Oreochromis niloticus: one gene and its partners. The protein of the gene in region 1 purifies or fractionates together with the protein of each later gene. This does not show direct contact. Links are inferred from orthologs where the notes say so. Each region holds a gene or a part of one and is shown in the gene's direction. Other genes may lie near its edges.

The links.
Region 2: the proteins of shc1 (region 1) and ap2a1 purify together in Homo sapiens (affinity purification with mass spectrometry; 4 studies listed by BioGRID and IntAct, counting the BioPlex papers as one, with this or other methods). This does not show direct contact. The link is inferred for Oreochromis niloticus from reciprocal best matches to the Homo sapiens genes SHC1 and AP2A1.
Region 3: the proteins of shc1 (region 1) and lrrk1 purify together in Homo sapiens (affinity purification with mass spectrometry; 3 studies listed by BioGRID and IntAct, with this or other methods). This does not show direct contact. The link is inferred for Oreochromis niloticus from reciprocal best matches to the Homo sapiens genes SHC1 and LRRK1.
Region 4: the proteins of shc1 (region 1) and AP-2 complex subunit alpha-2 purify together in Homo sapiens (affinity purification with mass spectrometry; 4 studies listed by BioGRID and IntAct, with this or other methods). This does not show direct contact. The link is inferred for Oreochromis niloticus from reciprocal best matches to the Homo sapiens genes SHC1 and AP2A2.

What each region holds. Positions count from the first base shown.
Region 1 is NC_031976.2:20,859,217-20,867,039, reverse strand, and holds the start of shc1 (SHC-transforming protein 1), read left to right. Parts: upstream 1-4,801; 5' UTR 4,802-7,823. UniProt on the Homo sapiens protein: Signaling adapter that couples activated growth factor receptors to signaling pathways. Participates in a signaling cascade initiated by activated KIT and KITLG/SCF.
Region 2 is NC_031969.2:2,264,046-2,271,295, forward strand, and holds the start of ap2a1 (AP-2 complex subunit alpha-2), read left to right. Parts: upstream 1-4,247; 5' UTR 4,248-5,025; coding exon 5,026-5,092; intron 5,093-7,250.
Region 3 is NC_031965.2:4,655,371-4,662,496, forward strand, and holds the start of lrrk1 (leucine-rich repeat serine/threonine-protein kinase 1), read left to right. Parts: upstream 1-4,123; 5' UTR 4,124-4,689; intron 4,690-5,252; exon of another isoform or gene 5,253-5,322; 5' UTR 5,323-5,412; intron 5,413-7,126.
Region 4 is NC_031965.2:39,416,056-39,423,581, forward strand, and holds the start of AP-2 complex subunit alpha-2, read left to right. Parts: upstream 1-4,523; 5' UTR 4,524-4,800; coding exon 4,801-4,867; intron 4,868-6,767; coding exon 6,768-6,836; intron 6,837-7,401; coding exon 7,402-7,526. Other genes in the region: tryptophan 5-hydroxylase 1, read right to left, coding at 1-48, 136-203, 280-380, 466-649, 789-944. UniProt on the Homo sapiens protein: Component of the adaptor protein complex 2 (AP-2). Adaptor protein complexes function in protein transport via transport vesicles in different membrane traffic pathways.

The sequences.
Region 1 (7,823 bases):
AGCTGTGCACGGAGTCCGTGTGTCTCAGACGCAAAGCCAATTCAAAAATAAAGAATTAGATTTTTGTTAGCAGTGCAAATATTACCGCAGATATTAGACTTGGATTTGGCCTGTGGTGCATCGCTATTGACAAAACACAGTGCTGAGGTGCTAAGCTCTTATAAACACTTCGAGACTGTTGACACTACATACGCTTTTTGTGTGGGTGTCTTGACCTGTGAGGAGGTGTTTTTCTCGGGTTCCTTCTGTCTGGCGTATGTACTGTATCTGTCTGTCTCTCCGACCATGTGGGGAGGGGGGTTGTTTATGTGCGTTGGTTTTTTTTCTATTTCCTGGTGTGTATGAGCGCATTCTGGAAACCAACTGTAGGAGTTTGTTTTTGAGGCCATAGCATGTGGTTGTCCGTCACTGCCTTCATACAATAGAGCCGAGTCTCAGCTGCGTTTCCTCCTGCGGTGCTCAGTCTAGCGCGGCGTGCTCAGTGTGCAGCGCACTGCGTGAGCCACAGTTTGATTAAAATCTCGTCCCGTGCGATGCTAAAAAAACAGAAGTTAGTGCAGCTTCGGCGGAATTTCATTAGCAGCGTGATGGCTGCTGATGGTTTTCCTGAATTCTGTATGAGAGGCTCTAATTGTTGCATTTTTATATGCAGCGCGTTACAGCGGAGTGACTCTGTGGTGCCACGTATCTAAGTTGAAAGTCTGTTTGTGTCTTTATTGTGGTTTCTCTCTCTTTTTACTCAGAAAGCTGAGATTGCATTTTCAAACGGTATCTCTTCTTGCAGATCAGGATTCCTTCAGGCTCGCTTCAACGGAGGTCTTCAGCATATTTTAAAGATAATAATAATAAGCCTGAATGTGCATGCCCACAAAGCAGGCAAAATATGTATATATTTAACACAGTTATTTTCTCAGTTTTAAGTAAAGCTCTTGTACTCCAAGAAACTCCAGAATTTTGTACTATTTGGGGAAGACTCTCTGCTGGGTACAGCTTATCATAATTATCATATTTGATCAATCATAACAAAATCTGAATAAAAATAGAGTTTTCTTCATTTCGGTGAGTAATAATTGCATTTTAAAGGGGATTCTGCATGCTTTATTTCATCTTATTGTGAAATACAGCTATATACCATTAAGAAATGTCCACCAGTTGTCTTTTGCAAAGTTAAAATTTCCCAATAATCACACATTTATGTCCGAATTAAACTGTAACATTTTCAGGCAAATCACAGGTAGCTGAGCAGAAAATGTGATGTTTTTAGATGGAATGATCCCACATCTTACTTCAGCTTATAAAACAGTAGTATTGAAGTAACTCTTTAGGGTCACTTTAGGGTCAAGCTAACATCTCCTAGCTGTTATTGTTTTGTAACGTTGATTATTCTGTGTCTTGATTTCAGTGCAACTCCTCAGCATGCACTCTTGAAGCCACTGGTTAACATTATTCAGATACACTTGGACATAAAGCAATGTTTAAAGAAACAGCAGTAAAATAAATCGACTTGGAAACTTGCTAAAATAACAGTAAAAGCAGCGACTCAGCAACATGTACTTAAATTAGATGACACAGTCTTAATGGGTGAAGTGGTGTGGTTGTCCAGTAGAAAAAAGTTTGAATCAAATTGTGTTTGCACTTTGCTTTCAGCTGTTCGCCCCTGTTTGCTGTGTGATCGGAACTTTTGTTAATTGAGCAAAAGCAAACTGCACAAAGTTTGCAAAGCTATGACTTAAATCCGGAAACATATGTTTGTGTAAAAGAAAAAACCCGACCCTAGTATTTCATGCAAACTTGAACCCTTGAAGAATTTCGATACTCGCTGCTACAGAGGACTAAAAGTTACGCCAGACAATGTTCAAAGGTTGAGCTGGAACTTCAGTGAAGAAACACCGCAGTTTCTGACAAGTAAGCCGTTAAACTGAGAAGGAAGTTGTAAGTGGAAGTTGTAAGTGGAGCAAAGCAGAAAGTGGTAGCAGGAAAGGAATGATGGAAGGAGATAGAGATGTGGGAGTGTGGTTAGAGGAGGGGTGGTGGTGGTGGTGGAAGCACAACCCAAAATAGCCAGCTCACATGTTTGCTGTGTGCGTAGTGAGCTATGAAGCCGAGAGAAAGTACTCCTGCTGAAGCCCCGGCTAATCTAATGTTCACCCTCAGCCTAATTTTTGAAAATTTGATTGCCTTTTTCCAGTGTGCCTGCTTATTTGTGTTTACGTTTGAGACTTTCCCGTGTGAGTTACGCTTCCTCCCTCTCTCCCTTCTATTGTTCATTCTTTACTCGACTCTTTACTGTCTGTCTTGCCTTGATAATAGGAATTGATGTTAGTCAGCATCTCTGGCAAGAATCCAAGAGGAAAATGTCAGCATCGAGGCCCCGTTTACTCATCTTTGCTAATTTTTTTTTGACTAGTTCAAATAAGGATAAGTGAGGTGGGTCAAATCACATTACACACACACATGCACACACACACACACACACACACACACACACACACACACACACACACACACACACACACACAGATATACAGTGTAAGAGCAGACTGCAGATGTGGCCCTGCAGCGTGTGCATTAGATCCAGAGCTCTTTCTTAGTCTGTCTCCGATTGTTTCATCTAATAAATACTGACTAGCTGCAGTTTCCACAGACTTCTGCAGGCGCAGAACACCAAAACTCACACTTGCTAACTCGCACTGGGCAAGCTGAAACACAAACAACCTACACATGCAGTCCTTTGAGTTGATTCTTTTCATTCCACAGGGTATGTTTCAACATGCACAGCGGATTTCTGCCTTTCTCCTTTCACTCTTCCTCTCTCCTTCCTTCGCTTTCTGTTACTTTATCCCTCTGAGTATCGCCCGGCCTCTGCCCTGTGTCAATGTTGTGTGTCTATGTGCTCGATATGAAGAAGGTCCCATGACTCTCTCCACAGCTGATGCTGGGAGCAAAGCATGCTGGAAGTCAAGTGGCTGCAAGGGCGCTGGTTTGAGCACGCTGTAATTTGCTCTTTGATTTGTGTGTGTGTGTGCTTGTCTGCGACTGTGTATGCTGTGTACTGTGTGCTGATGTGCACCTTGGTGTTTTTAGGGCTACAGACTCTCACGCTGCCTGTGCTGGCTGATGGAATATATGGTAAGACATTAAAATCATACGAGCAGCTGATTAAAAAAACACATCGTGCCACGGTGGCAAAGGAGTTGCTGCTTCTAAATTTCTGATATAATATAGAAATGAACAGACTCTCGCATCCAGCCCTGGTGGGCATATGTGTAAAGTAAGCGTTATTTGTTAAAGCACCGTAATTTCAGGGCTGCACAATTACACCAAGAATAAGATAAAATTGCTCCCAAAGATACTGTGGACACATGAGTGATTGTAGCTGGTGTGCAATATTTCACCAATTAAGATGCCTCCTTTCCATTTTCATGAAATTATAATCGAGCGTTATGAAAGTGTCATGTTTCAGGCTTTGATATGAAACAAACTGGAATGTTCTCTGACCCATTTAAAAGGGTTTCCAAGTAGCATATGCAACATAAAACAAAAACCTTATTCAAGAGAGAGAGCCTTCTAAGAAGCAGTACAATGTGATGCAGAAAAATCGCACACCCCTCTTTTTTTACACCTCATTTAATATTGCACAAGTTTTCACCTGCAAGAAGGAACTGGAAAAAAAGTCGTTTTGAAATCGTGCTTCAGTAATTGTACAGCCCTGTGCATGTAAATTTATTGTGGTTTGAATGGGATGTTAACTTTGCTTCCTCTGCAGTTTATTAGTTACACCCAAATAAAACAAATGCAGTTGGAAGCTGTGAGATAAACCTTACATTTTTGAGATAAAAAAAAAACCCATATCTATATTTTCAGATGGATATTTTTGGTTATTTTTGGAGGCTGCGGCTCCACGGAGAAGAAAGTGGCTGAACTGCAGTAGTTTTAGTTGGGTGTACTGAATAAGCTGTCAGCTCAGCGTGATTGCTACCTTTTTAATGTAAATTCAAGATGGCACTTGAACTGTTAATTCACTGAATCTAATAAGGGAGCACAAAATTTCAATTAGGTCAACCCTAAGCCACAGTGTATCGTGTGTTTCACTGGTTCTGGGCGTCTCGCAGGCTGCGGGTGGAGGGTGTCTTCTTCGCCAATCATGCCCGTCACTACCAATCAGATCACTGTGTATGATGACGAATGTTAGCTGTCTGCAGTTTGTCTCATTATGAACCTTCACATCCTTGAGTGCACTGCTTGAGCTCATGATGATGGTGTAGTGGTGAAATTGGGTACTGCGGGGACTCTTTGGGGTGTCATTTGAGGACTCTCTGCTATCCACTCTGCTGGGTTCCTGTGTCACTCTATGTGTGGTTTCCTCTACTTTCCGCAACACTGCCTTCTCATCAGATGCGCTCGAATGTCAAGACCAATCTGTGGGATTTCTGCTTTATGTCTTCCAGTCTTTTCCCCTAGAGTGCTGTAGTCATGTAGTAACATTGGAAATATTTATCATGCGAGTGCAGTCTGCTTTCTTTTTCCCCTCACTTTGTCCACTTACCAAGGTTATATAGAGTGACCTCATGTCACAGCACACAGAGGCTATCTATATCCATCCTTCCCCTCTCTCTCTCTCTTCCCCTCACTCTTTAACTGTGTTTCTCAGGTTACCAAACATGAATAAGGGAGGAGCGTTGAATACCCAACATGAACAGCCCACCCTCCACATGCACACACAAACACATGTATCCACCATCCCTTCCCTTCTCTCCCCTTCCCTTCATTCCTCCTTCCCCATCCCCATCTCCATCTCCCCTTGGAGTGTGTGCATTTCTGAGTAGAAGTGCAGCATCTTGCTGTGCATACACATGTATACTGCTAAATGACTCTGGCTGCAGAGAGAAGGTGGGGGGAAGGGAAGGAAACAGGAAGGAGGTAGCATGGGAGAAAAGAAGGTGGGGAGGGCACAGGCTGTGGCGCGGTCGTGTGTGTGTATGTGTGTGTATGAAAGAGAGAGAGGGAGAGAGAGAGAGAATGGGAGGCAGCATCACCCACCCAGACTGGGAGGAGGGGAGGACAGACAGTGTGCTTGTGCCTCTAACAGACAGACTGAGGTGGAAGGAAAGTGGGGATGAGAGACAGACGTGAGGGGAGAAGAGGAGCACAATGAAGGACTACCATCTACCATCATCCATCCTGGCAACACTGCCATTTCACCATCTGCTGAAAGAGTGAGAGAGAGAGAGAGAGAGAGAGAGAGAGAAAGAGAGTGAGAGGAGGGACGAAACAAGGAGGCAGCCAAACGGAGGAGAGGATAGATGGAGAGGAGCTGCCGGCAGTGACTTTGTGAATTAATCGAGCGGAAGAGCGGATCAGAGGAGAAGCACGTTTTTCGGGGAGTGGACGAAGGGAAAGCTAGGAAGAGGAAGGAGAGGACGAATGATCGGACAGGCTGTGGCCGTTTAAACATTAATGTGGTTCTTATGTGAATACGGAACCTAGCTTTAGGAGAATCACCGTGGATTATCAATTGCATGCTTTATAAACCAAAAAAGGAACTACTTCGGTTTTTGTTTTGTTTTTTTGTTTTGTTTTTTTTGCCATTCATTAAAACACTTAGGGAAATCGATAAGACTCACTTTATACAGAACAGTTTAATTACTTTTTCTTTTCTTTTTTTGGAAATACAGACTCCCTTTGTGATTTTCTATTTTCTTTCCCTATCCCTCATGAGCATAGGATCTACTCTGCAGGATGTTATACAGTCATTCTAATCTTTGTTAGCTGCTGCACAGAATATTCAGGTTGTTTTTATGCAAGTTTTCTAAACATCAGTTGTCTTTTTGATGTTAATTCTTGGTGAAATTCTTGTTTATACAGTTATTAGAAAAGAGATTATTGTTCTTTGAACACAGTGTCAGTTTTACATGCCCTAGTCGGAGTCGGTGCGAGCGACCGACGTCGGATGTCAACATTGATTGGGTTTTATGGCTGGCGCGATGCCGGCCAAACTTTGATCATTTCCTGAACCATATTGATCTTTCTAGGAGTCTGTAGTTTTTCTCCTGTTGGATGAAATAAAAAGAGCTCTAATGTGGAGCCTTTGATGGAGCTACTAATTGCTTGCAATGTGATTTGACAAAGCGGTTATCTCTTTGTCTGAAGATTTCTGCTGTTGTCAGGACTTCTCAGTATATATCCTCTGCAGGCATCTCTTTTAATGTCTGTTGCCATAGCAACGGGCAGCAGCTGCAGACAGAACAAGATGTAAAGTTGGTTTTTCTTGTCCTATCTTTTTAAACTGGTGCTGTGCCATTAGGTAATTGTATATATTTACTAGATAAAACAAGATTAGTCCATTGTTTGTGTCAGTTTTTAGAGTTTTTGTTTCCCTTCTTCTCCAGTAGACAGTCCTTGTCTTTGCGGAGCTCGGCAAGCTCCGGGAATCAGGGTTGTTTCAGGTCACCTGTCTCCCCCTCCCAATTTTCCGTGTTCGCCTTGTACGACTCATCTCCGTCCAGCCTGTCCCGATCTCACATTTATTAATGACAACTACCATTTCCATCAGTCAAACTGATGAGCTCTTATCAGAAATGACTGGATGAATTAGATTACAGTACTGATTTCACTTGTACGTATCACAGCTGCGTGGCCCCAAGGCCACCAATCACCAGTCATTAGCTGTGTTTGTGACAGCCTTTTCCTTTTGCTGTTTGTCTCTAGGTGACTCAGGATTTCTCTTCCTGTAGAGGGTCATCTCCTCTGCAGTCACCTGACCTACACTGTGTTCGGTGCACTAAAACATCCCTGGGAAGAGCCAGGGTTAACTCTGCCCATAGAGCATTTCAGCAGCTCTCTTTTTTTTAACAGCACCTGAATTTCTCTCCAGTGTTAGCAAGTCTACTGAGATTGAATCCTTTGCCTTTTTAAGTGCTATTCTTCTTCTCTACGGACTAAGTTCTGGTTTTATTAGATGTGTGACAGACCTTTTTGTTTAATCTGCATGCTCTTTGACTGTCCAAGTACTGTGAGTGTGTGCATGTTGTGACTTTTCCAGCCATACTACTTTACAGCTTTCTGGAGATCATCCCAGCCTGTCTTGCAGTTCATAAGTATGACTGGATCCTCCATGGTGCTTTCTGGCCAAGACCAGATGGATGACTAGCTAGAATTGCTAGACAATCCCTCTGTGGTGCTAGACTGGTGTAGGCGACTGTTCCTTTGCCATGCATTGAGCGCCCACCACAAGCTTGCGGGCTGTCCTTCAGGCAGAGTGAAGTTCTGAAATCTTAGTGTGAGGAGAAAAAAATAATCAACCTTTTTTGCTTGGCATTACTGAAACGCTGGTGCCACTTTTACAGACTTTTGTATGTGTTGTGGAAAAGGTGGGTGTAAACCTTCTCCTTTGAGGGAGCAAAGGTCAACAGATTGTAAGTATGACTAGTGCCTCAGCAGCACTAAGTTGTAGGCCAGCCAGCCAGCTTGCTGCTGGACTGTAGGTGTAGCTTTGCCTCCTACTGAGGTCAAACTGTGGCTGACTGTTTTAATTGTGGGGCTGTGGTTTGTGAGAGACTGTTAATGTAAACAGACTGTTGTTTGCCTTCTAGATTGGACTATGCAGACTATGAGATGTGAGGTGGTGTCTGTACAGTAGAGAGAGCTTACCTGCTGCTTGATAAGCCCTGCTTTAGATAAGGAAGGAATATAACTCTTGGCTCGTTCATATCATCTGTGACAGTGTCAATATTTTTCTCTCAGGTAAATAACTCTGTCCTGCGATTGCTATTTGAACTAGGCCGTAATAAAGTTACAGGGTGAGAACAGACGTGCATAGAGAA
Region 2 (7,250 bases), on another chromosome or scaffold:
TATACCCAACGCCCCCTTTAGACATGGAAACAAAGAAATTGTGTCGAGAATGTTTTAGAGTGATTTGAAGTACTTGATGAATCATTTTTGTATTTAATTCAACAGAAGCTTCTTCAACATAAATCCCAGCCAAAGATGATGAAGGGCAGAAGAACATGGAGCAGGCGGTTGGTGGTCTTCTTCTCTGACATGAGGTGAATGTGCTCTCATCTGTGAAGACGGCGGGATGCCGGTGGCAGACAAGCCAGTTCAGTATTCTTTGGGCAATGTCAGATAATCTGCATGGTTCTGTACTGTGAGAAGAAGTAGTTCCACTAAAGGACTGCCAGTGTTTGTTCTGTTCCTACTTGCACAGAGACACTGAGGCCCAGCTGATGCCTTTCTACAGCCCTGTCTTGTCCTACTTTCTTCTGTAACAGCCTATCCCCTGGTATTTCTACCACAGTATTGAAGCTGTGCTTGGAGACACACACTTCTTCCAGCTGCACCTATGGACATGCCATGGACTGTGGGCTGCTTCTGCACTGTTTCACAGTAACCCTAAACTGTACCTAGACTGAAACATTGCTGTCGACATGTGTCCAAATATCTTTAGGTGTCTGCAGGAACAGGGAAACTTCCCATCTTCAGTGTAACTCAGTGGTTTCATTGACAGGTTTTTAAACTTTGAATTCTGTTGGGTTTTATGGCTCATTAAAAGCCGTTTGAACAGAGCACTGTTTCTTTTTCATAACACATTGTTAAAGGTTTTCTGTTGTGGTCTGTTTGTCAACAGAATGAAATTTTGAGGTACAGGAAGTAAGTGTGTCCTGACTGTTTAAGAGTTGTCATTGTCAATCAAATGACTCTGATCAAATTTCTGCACGAGAGCACATGTGGGGTTGATGAAAACTAGGGAAGTGCGTGACTAGTCGAATAATCAAGGTCGCTGTCACTAAGTGGTTTAGAGCACTTCGCTCTCACACTGCAGGCCTACTTGTTGTTCGTAGAGTATTTAAAAGTAGAATGGGAGGCAGAGCCTTCAGTTTTCAGGCCCCTCTTCTGTGGAACCAGCTTCCAGTTTGGATTCAGGAGACAGACACTATCTCTACTTTCAAGATTAGGCTTCAAACTTTCCTTTTTGCTAAAGCATATAGTTAGGGCTGGACCAGGTGACCCTGAATCCTCCCTTAGTTATGCTGCAATGAGGCTGCAATAAAAAAAATCCTGTTTTCCTTCTCTCACCCCAACCAATCACAGCAGATGGCCCCGCCCCTCCCTGAGCCTGGTTCTGTCGGAGGTTTCTTCCTGTTAAAAGGGAGTTTATCCTTCCCACTGTCGCCAAAGTGCTTGCTCATAGGGGGTCATATGATTGTTGGGTTTTTCTCTGTATGTATCATTGTAGGGTCTACCTTACAATGTAAAGCGCCTTGAGGCGACTGTTGTTGTGATTTTTAGCTGTATAAATAAAATTGAATTGAATTGGTATAGAATAGAATAGAATAGAATAGCCTTTATTGTCATTGTACAGGGTACAACGAAATTGGAGTGCAACTCCCTTGGTGCAAAAATACAATAATAAATATAAATGTAAAATATAAAAGGTGCAATAAAACAAACAATAGTAAGTACAATATATACAGGATAGCAGCATTAATATAATGACAGTATGAATAGCAGCATAATATAATGACAGTGACAATATGGAGTAGCTAAGCAGTTTCAATTGTTTTTGTGCTTATTTACTACGGTGATAGCTCTGGGAAAGAAGCTATCCCTGAATCTGTTTGTCCTGGTTTTATGTGACCTGTACCGTCGGCCTGACGGTAATAGTTCAAACAGCTGATTGCTGGGGTGAGAATGGTCCTTGATGATATTGCCAGCTCTGCTGAGGTACCGAGAGTTTGCAATGACCTCCAGGCTGGGCAGAGAGCAGCCAGTGATCTTCTGGGCTGTGTTGATGACCCTCTGCAGTACTTTCCTGTCTGCAGCAGAGCACCCTGCATACCATGTTGTTATGCCGTACGTTAGGATGCTCTCTATGGTGGCTCTGTAGAATGTCACCAGCAGCCTCTCCTCCAGGTTGTTCCTCCTGAGCACTCTCAGAAAGTGGAGACGCTGCTGGGCCTTTTTTACCACCGCCGTGGTATTTGCAGTCCAGGAGAGATCATCAGAGATCTGCACGCCCAGAAACCTCATGGAGTGCACCCTCTCCACACAGCTCCCGTGAATGTACAGTGGGGCCGGGTCTGCTCTGCCCTTCCTGAAGTCCAAGATAAGTTCTTTAGTTTTCGTGGTGTTCAGTTGGAGGTTATTAACTGAACACCACTCAGTCAGTCTGTTGACCTCATCTCTGTAGTCCGACTCATCCCCCCTTGAGATGAGTCCAACCACGGTGGTGTCGTCCGCAAACTTTATGATGGTGTTTGAGAGATGGGTAGGGGAGCAGTCGGATGTGTAGAACGTAAACAGGAGGGGACTCAGAACACATCCTTGTGGAGACCCGGTGCTGAGTGTGATGGTGCTGGACAGGTGGGGGCCGAGTCTAACAGACTGTGGTCTGTTTGTCAGGAAGTCCTTGATCCAGAGGCAGATGGGGGTGGAGAGTCCCAGGTGAGACAGTTTCTGGACCAGGATCTCTGGGATGATATGATTAAATGCTGAGCTGAAGTCCAGGAAGAGCATTCTCACATAGCTTCCTCTGTGCTCCAGGTGACTCAGCGCAGTGTGGAGCGCTATGGTGATAGCGTCCTCGGTGGATCGATTAGTCCTGTAGGCAAATTGGTGGGGGTCCAAAGTGGGAGGCAGACTGGCCCTGATGTGCTGACAGACCAGTCTCTCAAAGCACTTCATCACTACAGGCGTAAGTGCAACAGGCCTGTAATCATTTGGGCTGACCACAGCTGTCTTCTTGGCGATGGGGATGATGGTGGAGGTTTTGAGGCAGGGTGGGACGGTGTTTAATGACAAGGAAAGGTTGAAGATTTTAGTGAAGACTCCGGTCAGTTCGTCAGCACATGCTCTGAGAACCTTTCCATGTATTCCATCAGGACCTGCCGCCTTCCTGGGATTCACTGACCTTAGAGCACACCTCACTTGATGCTCCCTAAGTGTTAGTGTGCCGGTGCTGGGGGCGGGTGGAAGTGGTGTGACAGCTGAGGGCCTGGTCGTCTCAAAGCGGGCGAAGAAACGATTTAGATCCTCAGCCAGCGAGGCATCAGTCCTAGATGTCGCCTGGTTATTGCTTCTGTAGTTGGTAATGTGATTGATCCCCTGCCACATTTTTCTGGGGTCGTTGTCAGCAAAGTGATCTTCAATCCTCCTCCTATAGGCAGCCTTAGCTTTCCTGATGCCTCTACTCAGGTCTGCCCTGGCCGCCCTGTACGCAGCCCTACAGTATCAGACATACTAGTGGTTTAATCTAATGATTAACATTTTAATTGATGCTCAGTGCTGCATGTTGCATCTCCAAAAGTTGAATCTGTTCATCTGGACGTAGCGTTTGGTGGGAGAAACGTTTCGTCACTCATGCATGTTGCATCCTAAATGTTATGGAGCCATCTGCTGCCAGCTGCCACAGAACTACAGCATCGTTGTAGATCAGTGTCCTAATGCTGTTAATCTAAGACCTGATCTTTTTGGTAGGCATGTTATTGGTTTCAAATGCCTTTGTTTAGACACTTTTTGACCCTGTCCATTAAACGGTCCTAAGATGGATTATCTGAGTGCCCCAAATAACTGAACATGCGGGTAAACAGACACATTGCACGCGGACCAATGAATACCTGCGCAGGTGAAATTGCATGTCATTTGCATTTGATGTTTTCAGTTCTTACATAATTATTTAAAACAATAACGTCTGTTATTGTTAAATCCTCACTGCACAGTCTTGCACAAACTGTAAATACCAAAAATGATTCTCTTAATATTTAATACTTTAGTATTTTATTATTTTTTTTTATTTTATTATATGTTCTTTCTTAATATACCTGTACACATGTACATGTTCATGTAAAGCTGAGGAACACGAGCATTACAGGTAAATGTTGCTACACTGTTTATCTGTATATGACAATAAAACTATTGTCGACTGGACACTACAGCTTAGCACTGTTAACACGAAAGCCAACTTTTAGCATACTTTCATCGGGCCGGCTTCCCTGCCGCTCAGTTGTAGCCTGTTTTCCATACAAATGGCTTCATGGCAGAGGTGCACTGTGTTGGTGCAGCGGCAGCCACATATCGCCGCAAGTTGTCCAATCAGCAATAGGGTCCACTCGAACGACGAAAAGGAGCGTAGGCGTTCACGGGTGTGCTGCGCGGTCACGTTATTCTGCTGTCACGAGCCTGATCCGAGCCGTACAGTGGAGGCTAAAGAATTGGAGCGGACATCAGTTATACAGGACGTAATATTTTTAACCAAATTTAGTGCGCGAATAGAGAGCTCAAAGAAGTCTTACCGCTGGTTGGTATTTGAGACGCTCTACTGAGTTATTCCGATCAACCGGTGATGTACTCCAGTATTTGAATGATATTGCTAGTCAGCTAGCTAGCTAGCTAGCTGTTAAGCTAGCTTTACGTTGCGTGACTCGAAGTAATTGAAGAATATACTCTCGGACAGCATTCTTACTAACACGTCTGAGTGCATTTATCTTTAAGACATTTATCAGTAGCCGTTTTTATCTTTAGCACATTTTTGTGGTATGAGTTATACGTAATTTCTAATCCAAGGTAGATGAGGATTGAATGAAATAACGTTAGCTTGCCATAGCCAAGGAAACAAGCCAGCTAACAGGGATAACGTTAACTTATCCCGCTGCTTGCTGATAGACTGCCATCCAGCGGATCTAGTAAATGCTACCTGAATTACCCACCTAAAAGCATCGACCGAACTTGGTAGGCAGCAGTCAGTCACAAAGTTGCAGAGAGGCAAACGGCTACTACCAAACATCAAGTTTGCCATCGTCGACTCCAGTCCGCTGTGAAACGGTGACCGGCGTCAGTGTTTTTCGGAGAAGGCCAGAGTGAGGACAGAAACCTGCAGACATGCCGGCTGTGTCGAAAGGAGATGGAATGCGCGGATTGGCCGTTTTCATTTCGGACATTAGAAACTGTGAGTTACCTTTCTTTATGCTACTTCATCATATGTGTTATTATTTCATTGTGTCATCAAAGTTGACATGGCTAATCTCATACATCATGCAGTGTTGTCATGTGGTATCCTCGACGCAGAAAGCTCTATCTACTTTTTTTAAAAATCAGTTTCGTAACGTTTAGTGGAACAATCAATATGATTTCTCACGTATTGACAGTAATGTGACTGTGGTGAAGTCACCTGCAGGAACAGAATAAAGGATGTTAGGCTTGGAGTAGCAGCTCTGATCAAACGTTTCCTGTTGTATAGTTGTACATGTTGGAAAGCTCGGCGACGAAAGTTCAATTCGCATTTGAAAATTTAGTGTCGTGTCAGGACGCTCCACATGTCTGACAGGCAAGGAAGACTGAAGCTTAAACGAAAACCAGTGGTTGGTATTTAAAACAACAACAATAGTATCAGTGATTACAAGTATAAATAAATAATAATAAATAATACTATTACGTGTAACAAAATGCTACATATTTCCAGCAATTCACTGTCTGTTTTTTTTTGTCAGTTTCCCAGTAATATTTATTCCAGTGATGACGAGAATGCCAGTTTTCACTGTTACTGAGTAGTAACAAGAATTTAGGAAGTAGTTTCCATCTCCTCTTTCCTTTTTGCCGTGATTACACATTTCAGTGTTTGTCACTGCAAACCTAACAGCTACTCCGGGCTTACATTGACAGGCAGTAATGGCTACTTCATGGTGGAATATTTGATACCTCCAGCTTTCATCAGAATCTGAAGTACACTGTATTGTTCTGCCTTTGGGCACGTTTAAAGAAAAATTCAGCAGAAAATAAAAATGTGTGACCTACAACTAGTGTAAATGTTCAAGGTGACGAATATTGCAAACATTTGCAGTGTCGTCTAGATGACTTGTTTTCAAACGTGCTGTGTCAGTAGGGCACCAAAGGGCAGGCAGACCTCTCCAAACACATGTGATTTGTAGCCTTGGGAAATAGACTTGATTACATGTTATCAAATACTCATTTGAAATAAATAGTAATAACATGACAGGTTGTATTGGAATGTTATTGACAAAAGCTTGTGAGAATGAATTTGAGTCTTGTTATGTCGGCAACAAACTTATGTAAATCAGACAGTGAACTGGTTGATTTGAGTCTTTTTATTTCATTTTAAGCACTTTGAGGTATTGCATGAGGTGTATCTGTGCTAACGGAAGCCTGTTAGAAACAGTTGTCTGCTGCCTGTCCAGTTGGGGAGTGTACCACTTTTTGGACAGATGGTAGTTAGAAAGCTTTAACTCATCAGCCATGCTGGTTGGTAGCTGTCTATCACTGTTTGAGCAGGAAGGCGGGCTGCAGGGTGACAGCCCATGATTAAATCCCATTCATTTATCATGATCATCATTGCTTTTCATGGTAAAAATGTTTTTTAGTGACAAGCTCTTTGCCTTCTGCTGTTCCAGTGTTGCTTATCATTATACCTGTTTAAGCAGAAAGTAGATCTGTCTTTAATTGTAATGTTACTTGTTCAGACTAAACACAAATTAGGTCAATAATTGGCAAATGCAGGCACGTGGTCAGGCAGTGGTTTAGGGAGAGCTTGTTGTGGCAGAACATGCATTTTCAGTATTGTGTGATCATGTTCGATTAATTATGGCCAGCCAAAATCATGATCAAGACCCTATTGTGACTGTTCTGTTTAATAAGGCCTAAGCACTTAAAGTTCAGTTCAATTTTATGAACATGACATCAATTGAAAACAATAGTTGCTTCATATTGTAAAGTAAAGGTGGCATGGAGATTTTGCCATGAAACAGGAAGTTGTGAAATCTGGTAGTGTAATGTCCCGAGATGGGCCATAGCCTGAACCCAGCTGAAGTCAGCTATTTGGCAACATTTTGAGGCTTTGTATTTGAGGAAACTCCTCGTAGGGATCTTACTGAATCAATTCCTTGGTCAGTCTAAAGTGCGATTTTAAAATGGTATATTTTTTTCTGCAGGAACATCCTAAAGCCTTCCAGTTCATTTATTTAAGCTCACAGTAGAGCGGGACTAAATATTGATACAGAAATGTGTCATCTTCCTTTTGCGATACTTTATCAACACACCATTGTCAAATATCAGTGGTGACCAAGCCTGAATGTTCATCCAATATGCAGGCT
Region 3 (7,126 bases), on another chromosome or scaffold:
GCGGCTCTGCTGCATAAGAGGGGTGGTGCAGTGGGTTGAGGGGGGAGCACCATAGAGGCTGGCAGGGCAGGTAGGCTGGCACTGATTGAGTAACTTAAACAGTACCAGCCGCAAACCACACCTCGCCACAATGTATAAAAACTGTCATGATCCTGGGTCTTTGACCCAGTGTTTTGTGTTTTCTATTGTTGTGATATATTTTGGTTTTTGGTTCTGTTCTTCCTCAGTTTAATGTTTAGTCATTCTGTCTGTATTTTCCTCTGTGTAAAGTCCGGGTTTCTTAGTCTGTGTCTTTGCATGTGTGAGTTCCTGTTTTATTTTGTAGGGCTGCGTCTCTCGTTTTTGTTTCTGGTTTCGCTTCCCCTTGTCTCGTTATGTCCAATTACTCCCAGCCGTGTCTTCCTCCTGTTTCCCATCCCCTGATTGCCATGTGTGTTTTTAAGCCCTGTGTTTTCTGGTGTGCATGGCTGGTTTGTCTGCGTTATTTGGTGTTTTCTGGTCTGTGTATCTCCCTCCGTCATCCTGTGAATTTTCCCTGCAAGTTGCTTTCACTTGTGTTCAGGTTTTGTTGTTTAAGTTTAGTTCTCCCAGTATAGTGTGTTTCTAGTTCTGTTTCTCGCCGCTCTTTTCTTTGTTTGTTATCTCACCGTCACAATAAAGCTCACTCACTTCAGAAGCTACCTGCATCTTGGGTCCTTTAATAATTCACATGGCTTGCCCCGCAAACCGTAACAAAAACAGAAAGAAAGTCTTTGCTGTATTGAACATAGTCATGAATAACTAACAAAAAATGCAATTTCTCTTTCATTTTCTGTTCTCAGTGGCAATAGTATACACTGTTGTAGATTGGGAACCACTTTACATGCTTTACATCTGGCTGATGTTCACTAATACGTTCCTGTTTCTTTGGTCCAGAGCAATGTATATTCAGCTTTAAGAGCCAACAGGAGGCCATAGAGAGAGCAAATAACTCACACACAGTATGGCCTAGTGTCAGCAGGCTTTACAACAAGTGTGGACAAAGCTTTATCAGTGTCTGCAGCACTGGAGACTGGCACTGTCTGGTAAGTCCCTTAAAGTCCCTGTTTATGGTCCTAACAGCAAAGGGATGTTAAAGTTTGTGTAAATGAACATGTAATGTACTGGTTAACTATAATGTTAATCTTTGCTTATTTCTACTCAAACTGAAAACCAAATAATTAAATATTAGTAAATGGTTTATTTATTTGATTTATACCAGTGGTTCTTAACCTGGGTTCGATCGAACCCTACGGGTTCAGTGAGTCGGTCTCAGGGGTTTGGCAGAGCCTCCGCTGTGACATGCACACCTCATTTTGTGCACCAGTAAAAAACATATCTATGTCTTGAATTTGAAAAAAATCATATTTTATTTTTCACTTAAGAGGGGTTCAGTGAATGCGCATATGAAACTGGTGGGGTTCGGTACCTCCAATAAGGTTAAGAACCACTGCTTTATACCATGGATGGACTGTTGCAAAGGTTTGTATCTTTACTGAACACATGAAAGAACTGACAGTCAATAAAATGAGACCCCTCCCCCAGACTCCCTTTAGAGGGTATAAGCCTCAGCTGTTTCATTATTCATATGCTTTAATTATATTTATTGGATCTGTACTTTCTAACTTTTCTCATGTGTTGTCTCTGTCTGCTCAGTGGAGAATATGCTATTGCTGAATACTCTGAGGTGAAAACAGTGATGATCAAAGTGAAAGAAACCATCGGAGAAGAACTGGGAAAATCGAGTGCTCTGCACTTCCTGTCGCATGAGACCACATCACAATTCTCTAACACCCATACTGTTCACTCCAAGTATTCCAAATCTTCAACCCTATTTATAGTTTGGTATGTTTGTAGACTGCCAGTTCACCTTTGAACCTGTAGTTAAGGTTTCTTAGTCAGAAACTCAGTTATTCTCCACGGGAAAAGTACAAGAAACAGATATGATCTTCTGTCATGTGACTACATAGATGTGTCTGTAAACCTTGTCTGTTCTTTTCCTTACAGAAGGTTTTATGAGAGACACAAACAAATAAAACATCCACTCATCCAAAGTCATTTGTTTTTATTTGGGAGACTGGGCAGAAATACCATTCATTTACAGTATTCCTGATGTATGCAAATTGACTTTTTTGTTCTGACCCAATTTAATCTAATATAAATATTTGCTGCTGAGGAAGATGTTCATTTCATTTCAAATATAAAAAAAACAAATGTTTCCAGTACTACACAAGGTAATACTGACCTTGCCATTTACATTTTAGCACTAGTCATAGCAAGAATGTTATCATTGCATAGGTAGCAGCACTTGTTTTCTCATACTTTGTACTTTTGATAGAAATTCAGAATGAACAAAATAAAATACAACTTTTGTGAGCCTTTTATAAGAATGTGATTTCTTTATATCTGAAGAGGCTTTAAGGAAGTTGACCAAATGAACAATAGTGGAGAGATATGAAGGACATTTATGACAGGTCATTAATTCATTTGATTTGTCACATCTTCCAAGGATTGACTGTCCCAGCAAATTAATTCTGAGGTGAGACCATGTGATTAAGACTTATTTGAAAGCGTTTCTTCTCTAAAAAGAATATGGCAGCATGGCTTAGGTTTGCAAAATGCCATCTGATCAAGCCACAAGACTTCTGCAACAATTGTCTTCAGACAGACTAGACCAAAGTAAAGATTTTTTAGCCATAATGCACAGTGCTACATATGGTGAAGCCCAAACACAGCACAAATACCTCACATCAGCTGTCAAATGTAGTGGTGAAAAGGTGATGATTTGTTCTTGTTTTGCAGCCACAGGACCTGGCTCCTTCCATTTATTGAGTCAAGCATGTTATATGGGACCATATGCTTTAAACACATAAAGCATATTAAGGATTGTACATTAACATATTTTATTGTGAAAACTGTTGTCAGAACCATACTGAATTTAACCAGATAAACTTCTCCAGTCCAAACAACATTCCGATGTCACTGCTGTATATCCTGGTGGTGTGGATCAGTGAATGTATGTCTCTGGCTGATGATTGCTCCATTTCCTAGTCGGCAACCAGTCTTGTTAATGATCTCACTGAGGGGGTTCGGGCCCATGCAGAACAGCAGTGGACACAGAGCATCTCCTTGGTAGATCCCGCATTTGGTGCTGACTTTAGCTATTGACTTGAAGCTGGCCTCTGGTGTTGTACATTGAGTTCCCCGTGTATATATATATGTATATATATATACATATATATATATATGTGTGTGTGTTTGTGTGTGTGTGTGTTTTATGTGTGTGTAGAGAGAGAGAGAGAGAGATCGTATGCATAGTATGTAAACGGCTAACAAGCAGCCATTATAATTCGTCATACAATGAGAATAGGAGACAAATCAACAATCAGTGTCTGTCTACTGCTTACTAAGATTGCCAAGTGGCTAACAAACGTAAACAGAAATGTTATCTTGTTCAGGATACATGTCATACATAATACCTGCCATCATCCAATGACATATCTGCTTACCTGTATCTTTTGCTAGTTTCTCCTCCTCCTTTTCTCTCTTTTTTTGTACACTGAGCACCTGATGGCTTTAACCTTTTCTTGTCAATCTTCCATTGGTGTTCATCTTGCACTCCAGTATCAACACCCATCCCCAAACCCGAAAATCACCACAACATAACCTAACAGACCTACACTTTAGTGCAGAGATTCGCACAACCCAGGAAAAAATAATTAATACATAACAGGCTTGGATTGACAACATTATGAATGAAATGTGCTCCATTTGGAAGCACCCCCCCCCCCCCCCCCTTTGGACAGGTTGTGTGATCGACCTGAACAGCACAGCATCAGCAGCAAGCAGGCGCACTGAGGGCCATCGCGCTCACTTTTCGCATATGTGTGTGATAGAATTTAGAAAACACATCGGTGCAAATTATAAATCTATATCATAATGTATTCTGTTTTTGTGGTTGTTGGTTTGTTTTTATTTAGTTTTATTTTGCGAGCTGGTTATTAAATGCCGTACCAGCCAGCCAGAGAATCCCTCGCCCCTCCCTGTGCGGCAAGCAGCAGGCGCACCTCGAAAATGGAAGGCGCCCATGTCGCCCATATCAAAAACCGCCACTGTGTGAGGCCATCTGTCCACGAGACCAAGCTTAGGTTAAAATTGGATCATGCAACAAAACAACGATCCCAAAAAACACTATCAAATCTGCAGAATCCTTGAAAAAGAAAATGTCAATTTCAGACCTCAGCCGGACTAAAATGTTGTGGAACGAGCTGAAGAGACCGGTGTGTGGAAAAATAGCTGGAAACCTGAATGAAGTGATGCAACATTGCGAAGACGTTTGGGCCAAAATTCTTCCTGAACTATTCGAGAGATTGATAAAGTCTCTCACATAGGAATTTAAAGGTGTTTGTGCTAAAAGCGTTTCTACAAGCCTTTACAACGCTTCTGGACCTTATTTTGAAAAACACATCAGGCATCGATATTATTTTGAAAATTAATACCGGAAATCTCTGTGTTAAACAACCTGACTGCTCAAAATTCGTCCGGAGTGGAAAGTTTTTATCGTGGAATCAGGAAGTCCAGTAAAAGATTGTTGTGAGGTAATCCGCGGCTGGTATATACAGCAAAGCTGCAAAACCCTCTCTGTCTCTCACTGGACCTTTCAGGCATGCGGTAAGTTGGATATTAATGCTGTGCCAAGATGTGTTGTGTCTCATGGTAAGCAGAAACCAGTAACTCAGTTGTCGTGATTTGTCTGATTAACTCTTTTTTTTGACGGAGTTACTGTTAAAACAAACAAAACAAACAAAAGTAACAAGGGTGTTTTTCAAAGTCTGACCCATTTTCTGTGACATGTCCCACAAATGAAAGCACCTTGTGTTCCAGCAGTCATTATTGTTATTGTTATTATTATTATTATTGTTATTATTCAGAAGTTGGCAAAGAGTATAAAAATTGCTGTACCACACAGCAGAGACATGCACAGACATTTGCACTGTCGGCGGCTACAGTCACAGTCGTTATACCTCATGTTGGCACTCCAGACTAAAGCTAGAAAATGCAGCATGGAACACATGCAGGGGCCTGTCCTTCCAGCTTTCTGTTGCCTGAGGTATTTACTAAGCACAGTTATAGGCCATCTTCCTGATGCGCACATGGATGTTTGGTATTTCATGCTAGATAGTGGTTATGACTCCCACTAGTCCTCGGTCTCCTCCTTTCTGTTTACTGTATAGTCTCAAGGTGCTGGACTTGGGGTGAAACTCTGTAAGGAGCTTCCTTGTCAGTGCTTCCTATGGCCAACAGGGTATCTGACTACGGGTGTAGGCGTAGATTGCCCAGATCTTGTCCTTCCCAATCATCCGACTTCTCGGGACATTGCCTGACCCTCCGCAGGTATTTGGTGTTTGTCGCTTTCCTAGTAGTCTCTTCATGGTTCCCATTTGCCTGTGCGATTCCAGGTGCTTGTAGCTGTCCTCTGTGACTGCAGTGTTGTCTTCTGGTTGTGCGATCCCTCAGTTTTGACTATTAACAATTGCTGTAGTCGGTAGAGCAGGGCGATATGACCAAAAATATTTATCACGATATACATTTGAAATTTTGCGATAACAATATAACTGACGATATAATTGACACTAGGCAAAATACTTTACAACTCCACAACTTTAATAGTGCAAAAAAAAACCCATCAATGTATTTTCACTTAAACAAGCAGCTGTTTTTTATGTGCATTAAAGCTATATAAAAATTTAACAGTGCAAATGCAAATTCCTCGCTGACAGTTTAACAAAAAGGCATTTCCAGTGGAACTTGGCTGACATATCCTGAGCATAACCATGTATAATATCCACAAAACTTAAAAAGAGGTTATACACACACAATATGGTAATATTATGTTGAAGCACAGTACGTATCACTCGGCGAGGCTCCTGCCTACGATAGCCGTAATGCTCCGACAATCTATCAAGCAGTGCGGGTTTGTAGCTTAGCAAAGTCGTACTAAAACATTTGACAGATTTTTGAGCGCTGTGTATCACATTAAATCGTTTCGAGGTCAGTAAATGCAACCAGAATTCACACATAAGGCACACGGGATTATAAGGGGCACTGTCGATTTTCAGAAAAATCAAAGGATTGATTCTAAGTGTGCCGTATTTTCCAAAAAACACCGTAATAACGACGGCCCGCTAGCATGCTCTACCAAAAATAGTGCTTTGTTGTGTATCTGACAGATGAAAGCTAAACCAGTTCCACATCACTGAAGTTGCAGCATTTTTACAAACCAATTCTGGTTCATCCGTTTCATTCAACGATCCGCTTTCCCCCTTCTCATTCTCCGTCGCTGCCGTGCTTTTTCCGCCATGTGCGTATGAAATCAAAGGCACTTCGCATGCGCGTTTTACCCATATTCTATCGCGATATTTCATTTTCTTATCGTTGCCCAACATTATACCGGTATTACCGTGAACGGTATGATATGGCCCAGCCCTAGTAGTCGGTGTCCATAGCCAGTCTTGTCAGTGCCCTCGGTCAGGGGTCAGGCCTATGCAGGACAGTACTGGTGACAGGACATCTCCTTGGTAAATCCCGCACTTGATGGCGACTTGTGCTGTTGGCTTGAAGTTGGCCTCTAGTGTTGTTCGCGACATCCCCATCCTTTTACTGCTCTGCTCATATAGTGAGCCATATGTCTGTTTATCTTAGGCACTATTATGCCTGATAGGACATTACATGTGGTCCCGAGGCAGGTTATTGGCTGTTAGTTAGATGGAACCGGTCCCTTCTGGGGATCCTTGGGGATCAGAATTGAAACACAGACACAGCAGCTTGGCACCCTCTCTACCTCTGTGCCCCCATCAAACACAAGTGGTTATTGATGATGTGAGTCCTGGTAAGAGTAGTAGGATAATCCTACAGCACCATACTTCTTGCTCATATTTAGCCATATCTTGTAAAATGGATAGGGCAACGCTACAATGTGCAAATAGATGACACTAAAACAAACAGCAGAAGCAACCTAAGAGTTTCTCAAGGTAAAAAAAAAAATTGGATTTTAATCAGTTAGTCATCTAATGTCAACACGATAGAGGCGTGCTTTTCAGGCGTGCCT
Region 4 (7,526 bases), on another chromosome or scaffold:
GTACGCACCTCCTCTGCAGTGTAGTCCACACGAGGGATGGGCTCACCGCTGTGAGAGACAGAGTTAAAGGATGAAAGCCCTTCTAGGTTTTTATTATTAACTTCATTAATGAAGAAATCCATAAGAGGAACTCACTGTTTGTAGTTTATAGCTAAATCAGAAAAATATTGTCTTCTTTTTCTGTATATGTTGTCCTTAAATCCCTGCAGGAACAGCAAAACCTCAGTCGGTTACTGAGTTCACACTTCATTTCAGAGCTCTGTCCGACGACCCACATACCGGATGATCTGCATCAAGTTCAGAGCCATACATCAAAACCCTGTTTGCACACAAGTCCAAGTCAGAGATCTTCTTGGGGAACCACGGCACACCGAGCACATCTGAAACACAGTCAACACACGCAGACCTGTGAAATAACTCATTTCTATCACAGCTTCTGTTTAGTCAAAGTACGACAAGGTGTACCGTCCTCGGGTAGAGCGGAGCTGTCGAATGGCGAGATCTCCACGATGTCCGTGTGCTTCCTGAGCAGCTCGGTGAGCTCCTTGAACTGCTCGTGGTCTGTGTCGCAGTCCACAAAGATCTCAAAGTCTGAATTCCTTCGTTTGGACTTACGGGACTCGATGTGAATGAGGTTGACGTGTTTTTCCTGTGCGCGTGCACACACACACACACACACCCAAAGAAAATGCTGTAAATGCTTCCGATCAAATTCAAATTCCTGGCCAGTCACACACATCCTCAGAAAACACCATATCTGTGTCAACATAAAGAAAATGAAACCTCACCTGGAAAAGTTTCAGTGCCTTTATAAAACCACCGACTTCGTTTTTCAGAGTGAATATGATGGTTGTCGACCCTCTCCCAAAGCTGCTGGAGACGGTCCTGTTGTCCAAAGACCTTCCTCTGCGAAGCTCCTTTCCTTCTGACTTCCTGGCGTACATGCTTCTCTGGATTTCAGCGACACAAATATGAAATTTATAATGATGGTTCAGTAAACTTGTTTTTGCACTGGCTGCATCAGAGAGTCGTCTGGTAGGAGTAAGACGTAAAGGTTGAGACAGGATGAGTTTCCAGCTGTTCTGTCGCTCTGCACGGCGGCTGCTGCGTTTATGAAGCTGCAGCAGAGGGGAGGGCGCTCCAGAGAGGAATATTCATCAGGAGGAAGATCAGCATAATGCCACATACATCACAACACACGGCGCTTTGACACGTCACCACCTGATCACTTATTGTAGAGTCAAACACACGTGATGATAAAGTGTTACTGTAACTGTCCTTTAAAATACACGAACACGTGAACTTTACAGTAACTGTGAACGACTTACTGTTAGCTTCATGCCAATAATTTACTGTACAGCAACATGTTTATAGTACTGTGTACTGTTTATGTACAATGAATTAGATATTTACTGTATTTATGACACATTTTCATTTACACTGTTTCAGGATTAACATCCTTTATTAGTTATAACAATAGAAGTGTATGACTGTAATATCATTTCCCAGGTTATACGTGGAAGGTTTCTGAATTCATTGTGTAATTTTCAGTACCTGAAACATGCACACGTTTCTAAATCAAACTGAAATGTAGTTACAGTAGAACAGTTTTAATAGAGAGAGGGAACAAATTATGTTGCAAGTATTTGAATTAATGAGTATCCAACATGTTAAAGTTATAGGCTGTATCATAAAGGATAGCAAACTTTCCTTTCTTTCACTGAACTCACAGAAATCATTTTGAGCTGCAGGTGTCGGTTCCTGCTGTTCTCTCTTCTATTACATATGAAGACAGTTAAACCCTAAATTCTGGAAATGTGGGAATGAAGAGATTCCTGTTTGTCTGTTTGCTGACTGTATTTTTATGCAGTGATTAGCCACTGGACAAAATAAAAGAATTATTTATAAGACAGAAAACACACACAAAATATGCTTTAAGTGACAAATACTTTAAAGAACAGAGTATTATCAGTATTCTGACCTCCTGTCGTGGACTCTAGTTACACAGTACTCTCGGGTGCAGACAGCTGTAAGGTGAATCTGGAGACACTGTTGAGTCATTTTAAAGAAACTTCTGGTTATGAATACAGAAATTATATTTACAGTTCTAATTTTTGAAAGTTTACCATCATTTTTTTGTTCAGTCCTGTTTTAATATTAATTTTTTGACATATTCAGCAGGTTATTTTTGGATCTTTCAGCAGGTAAATGGACTGATTGTTATATAGCACTTCCCTCTGTCCCAGAGTACTCAAAGCGCTCTATACAACATGTCACATTCACCTTCTGATTTTAAGTGCTTACTAATGTTCACACACATTCATACTCTGATGGATGCATTGGAGAGCAACTTAGGGTTAGTATCTTGCCCAAAGGCATGCAGACCAGGCGGAGTGCCAGGGATCGAACTCTACCTCCCGAGCTACAGCGGCTAGTATACTCTGTAATACAGACAACATTCCAAATAGTCACGTGTAACTACAGTGTAAGGAGGGGAACACTGTTTGTCCAGAGCTATAAAATATAAAACTGTATCAGTCTCCAAAAGTTGAATCTGTTCATCTGGACGTAGCGTTTTGTGGGAGAAACGTTTCGTCACTCATCCAAGTGACTTCTTCAGTCTGTATCAGTGTTTTCTTTTACCCAGATAATTACGCTTGGAGCAACCAGTCAGTGTGAGTGTACACAAGCACTGATAATAATATTGCAAAAGGACTGTAAAGCGAGCCATCACAGCTTTTTATTGATAAGAGTTCAAAACGTATCAACTGGATCTCGTGATCAGGAGTCATCAGGAATTTCGATTCGTCGCTCAGGACATCACCTCTGTCAGAAAACAGAGGGCGGGTCTGAGTCACCTGTTCAGCAACAAAGAGCAACTTCAGTTTCACCAGCGGACGTTTTGCACAGGTGGCATCTTATCGCAGCATCATGCTGGAGCTCCTCAGAGCGACCCATTCTGTCACAAATGTTTGTAGAAGCCGTCAGCATGAGTAGGTGCTTGATTTGAAACACCTGTGGAAGTGATGGAACACCTGAGTTAAATGATTTGGACAGGTGAGTGAATGCTTTTGGCAGAGCAGTTTAGTTTTACATAAAAATAACTCACTCACTGTGAGTTAGAAGTTTCCACCAAAGCTTTCATCACATGTTCGGTTGCTCATGGTCATAACCTCATACGGGAGGGTAGCTCACAATGGCCATGTAGTCCATCTATAATGAGTAATTGTAGTTATAGCGAGAGACAGGAAGTCTCTATCTGCTCCTCTAATTTTGTCTAAAACTGCAGCCTGACTCCAGGAGGCTCCACATGAGGCCTGGCGTATTTAAACACATTTACGGCCGGACGTGACCCTCAGCAGCCCTCTGAGATGAACGTCACTGATGTGGGTTTGCTGCTAACTGCAGCCGTGATTTTCTGGGCTGCAGATCTGAGCCTGATGCTGCTTCTTTGAAAAGCTTAATGAGTCAGACTCAGAGTGTGATCCATCTACTGTCTGTTTATGCGATTAGAGAGCCCAGGCCTTTGTGCAGCACTGTCTGCTGATGCTGTATGTGTTTCTGTGCAGGCTCGTTTTTTTACTGCTTTACCTTGTTACGCTCTGATCTTCATTCACATGAATGAAATAATGCACATGAAATACAAATATAACTTCCAGCATGAATCCAAATGAAGCCGACTCTAAAAATATCCCAAAATTACTCTAAAGATGCTAAAGCCCGGTAACGCTGCAGACCAGCACCTGAGGAATAACGGAATAAAATAATCAGAGTGTGTAATTCAAGCGGAAAACTACTGAGAACTGTGAAGGCCTGAGAAGTGTACAGTTTTAGGACTGAGCCTGTATCAGTGCAGAGACCACAAAGTATGACACGAGTCCATAATTACACTGGCTTTGTGAAAAGTTTTGCATTCAGCCAGCTCCAAACGTTTGGACCATAACGTGTCTCGTACTGTATCTCACTTTCATTTGGAAAGTCTGTAATTACTCCACATAAATAAGACACATGTTCCACCATGAGACATTACCGCAGTTTAACTGAGGCTCAAATAGAGACAGGTAGAAGAAGAGCTTCACACAGAAGGAAGTCTCTCAGTTTGAAAAATAAGCCAATAATTTAGACAGTGTCTTCATTAATTAATGCCTATCAAATTTCAGAAATTCATTCATCCATTCTCTTCCGCTTATCCATTTCAGGGTCGTGTAGGCGCTGGAGCCTATCCCAGCTACCATCCAGGACGGGTCGCCAGTCTGTCACAGGGCCTTCAGAAATTCGTCAAAAGAACCCCCTCCCCAATATCCGCTTTATAACCCAGCTGTTTGTCTTGATGTCATAACGTCTATTACAAAAAAGTTGGGACTTTTATAAAAGTACATAAAACAGAATGCAAATCACAACATATCAAACTTTTAAACTGAAAAATGAATTGAGTCAAAGTTTTAATAAAAATGATGAAGACAGTAGCATGACTCTAATAGTCTCCCAAACATCTGGGAGCTCTCCCGTCCTCGGTGCTCATGCTCCAGATGTTCTGGGCTGCTGAAAGGTCAGGACTGGGCCGGGTGCGTTCACTCAGTTGAGTGGGTAAAGCGAACATGTTTGGGACGCGGCCCGCCTGAGGAGGCTGGAACAGGGCGTTTCCGCGCTGAAGGGGACGCGGCCCGTCTGGTTCCTGTCTCGGTCATATGTCGGGGCTCCTGGTGCTCGCAGCGGCGGTTCGCGGTTCCACAGACAGAGAGTTGAGGGTTCGAGCAGCGGGTTGTCCGGGTCAGCTGAAGCTCCCCAGCAGCGGAGAGGATGCCGGCGGTGTCTAAAGGGGACGGGATGCGCGGACTGGCCGTGTTCATCTCCGACATCAGGAACTGTGAGTTTGTCTCCTTCACCCTGCAGCTAGGCACGGCTAGCCTCTGTACCGCGGGGACCTCAGGGAACACGCCCGGGGGGGGACTTCGAGCCCGGGGTCAGTTTCCCGCCCCTGCCGCCCTCATTCTGGGCACATTTACCCCGTTAAAGTGGGATAAACTCCCGCTCAGAGCTCAAACCTCCCCGGCTAATCAACGCTAGCTGCTAGCTCGGAGCTGCTAACGTCACCGTGTCAAAGGGCGTGGGCCGCCGTGGGGAGATAAACAAACCGTCACTTTTTAACGGCGTGAGCTGCTTTATCAGGCCAACATGAGCGGCTCAGTGCCGCCTTAGCCGGTCGAAAAAGTCGGTGTGTAAAATCTCCGTGCCACCGCCTCAGTTGGCGTTAGCTGGAACTAACGTTAATCGCGAAAAGTAATGCAAAACGGTAATCTGAGTACTCGTGAAAGAGCGAGAGTAGTGTGGTGGTGCTCTCCAGGGGGTTTAGGGAAAATCAGCAGCGTGGAAAATAAAAGTTTGAAATGAGAGCGTGTTCGTGGGCAGGTACAGGTGAAAGGTGAGAAACTCGGGTGAGGCCGAGGCAGGTAGACATTCCCCGTGTTTCTGTTTGCTGATCGTGGGAACGAGTTACAGCTACAGTAACTGAATCAGCTGCTGTGTGACGGTACGACTCTGCTCTGCGGTACCTGCATGATGAGCAGGCCAGTGGTTTTTGGCCTCTTTCAGCATCCTTACACTCTGTGATGTGAGTCTGTGCTGCCGCCTCTGTAGAAACAGACACGTTTCACGTCCGTGAGCGTTTATACCGGGACATGAGAGAGAGATGACTCTCTGACCCCTGACCTTAACCCAGAAACACTAAAGTCAGGTGACTTTCCCCCACACTTTCGCCCACATGGTCCTTATGTTGCCTAACATAAGGACCACTAACATGCAGAACTGCATGTTAGTGTTCTGGGTGAGAAAACAGGAACGCGGCCTCAGAGCTTCCTGTTGCTGCCCCGACACAAACCGTCCTGACTCTGATTTTATTCTGCAGTGTCCCAGCTGCTGCTGCTCTGCTGGTTTTGTTCATGCTGGTGTTTCAGGGTGACCTATTCTGAATCCACCACAGCAGCTTACTGTGATTCACAGTTCAAAATAAGCCTTCTGTATTTGATAGTGCAGCTGATTCAGTCACAGCTGATCTCAGGCCCTCTGTGTTCATACAGCTTAGACTGTCAGTGAGCGCTCCCACATCCACTCTGCTCCCTTCACCTCTTATTATCCGGTCGATGTGAAATGTTGGTGAACGCTCATCAGGTTATAAATCACGTTCTTCACAACAAAGCACATGAAAAATGTTCCTACTGTCACAATCAGAGACCGGACTTAAAGATGGATTTAGCTGAAAGGTAAATCTGACACAGACGTGTCTTCAAACATGCAGCAGGGGGCGACTCCTGCGGCTGCAGAGAGAAGTCTGATTGGATGGAAGTCTGTGAGAAAAAGAGGCTCCAGCTCAGCTGATCTGAGCTCAGTAAACACTGTAATGATGATTTATGGTCTCAACCGCTGGTTTCGGGGCTTGCTGAACAAAGCGTGATGTTCGGTTTGGAAGTTTTGGTCACAACAGAGCGAGAAAGGAGCAGGAAGCAGGGAGGATTAGCTCTGTGTGATCCTGCAGCGTCATCAGGTCTACGCTTCAAAAACGGGCGGCCTGAGGTTCCTGCTTCTGGGGATATTTTCTTAATAAAGTAAAGATATGTCACTGCTTTATCAGGAAGCTGTTATGTTGTAGTGTGCGATTGAACCTGGACGCCACATTCCTCAGCGGCGGCGACCTTTAAAAAAAGGCAGGATGTTGTATTCATGAGTGATCACAGCTCTGTGCATGCTGAATAATGCTGATCTGTCTGCAGGTAAAAGTAAAGAGGCCGAGATAAAGAGGATAAACAAGGAGCTGGCAAACATCCGCTCCAAATTTAAAGGTAGGTGATGGAGAAACGAGCTCGCCGAGTCACCTGACGTGCTTCCTGCTTCCTGTCCTGACTGCTTTGTGTCGCCCTGTGAAACCTCACTGACTCTCTGGTTGCTGCTGTTTCTCCTGTTGCCACCTGTTCCTTGCTGCCTATAATTAGTCTGCTGCAGAGAGGAGGCGATATGCAGGCAGGGAGTGTCCACATAGCGCCTCCTCTCCGCCCTCTCCACCCGGCATTCAGGCCTCTTCACTGTGTCCACATGTCTCTGCAACTGTGCTTCTTATCCATGAGGTACTAAGGGTGGCGTAACACTCTTTCTTCAGGTTTATTTGATGATGATGTTTCCAAACGCCTAATTAAAGCCCAGTCATGCAAAAACAGAGATTACGTGTGTTTGATGTTGCACTGCTGCAGATCCTGAACCTCCCACTCTCACTGGGTTTGGATTATTTGACTAGATTTGAATCAGACAAAGTCCACCTGCTCTTTTCTCCGAGCCTCACCTGTTTGGAATAAAATGCTGCTGTTTATCACATAGACAGTAAAGAGTGTGTGTGTGTGTGTGTGCGTGCAGGAGACAAGGCGTTGGATGGCTACAGTAAAAAGAAGTATGTCTGCAAGCTGCTCTTCATCTTCCTTCTGGGCCACGACATCGACTTCGGGCACATGGAGGCCGTCAACCTCCTGAGCTCCAACAAG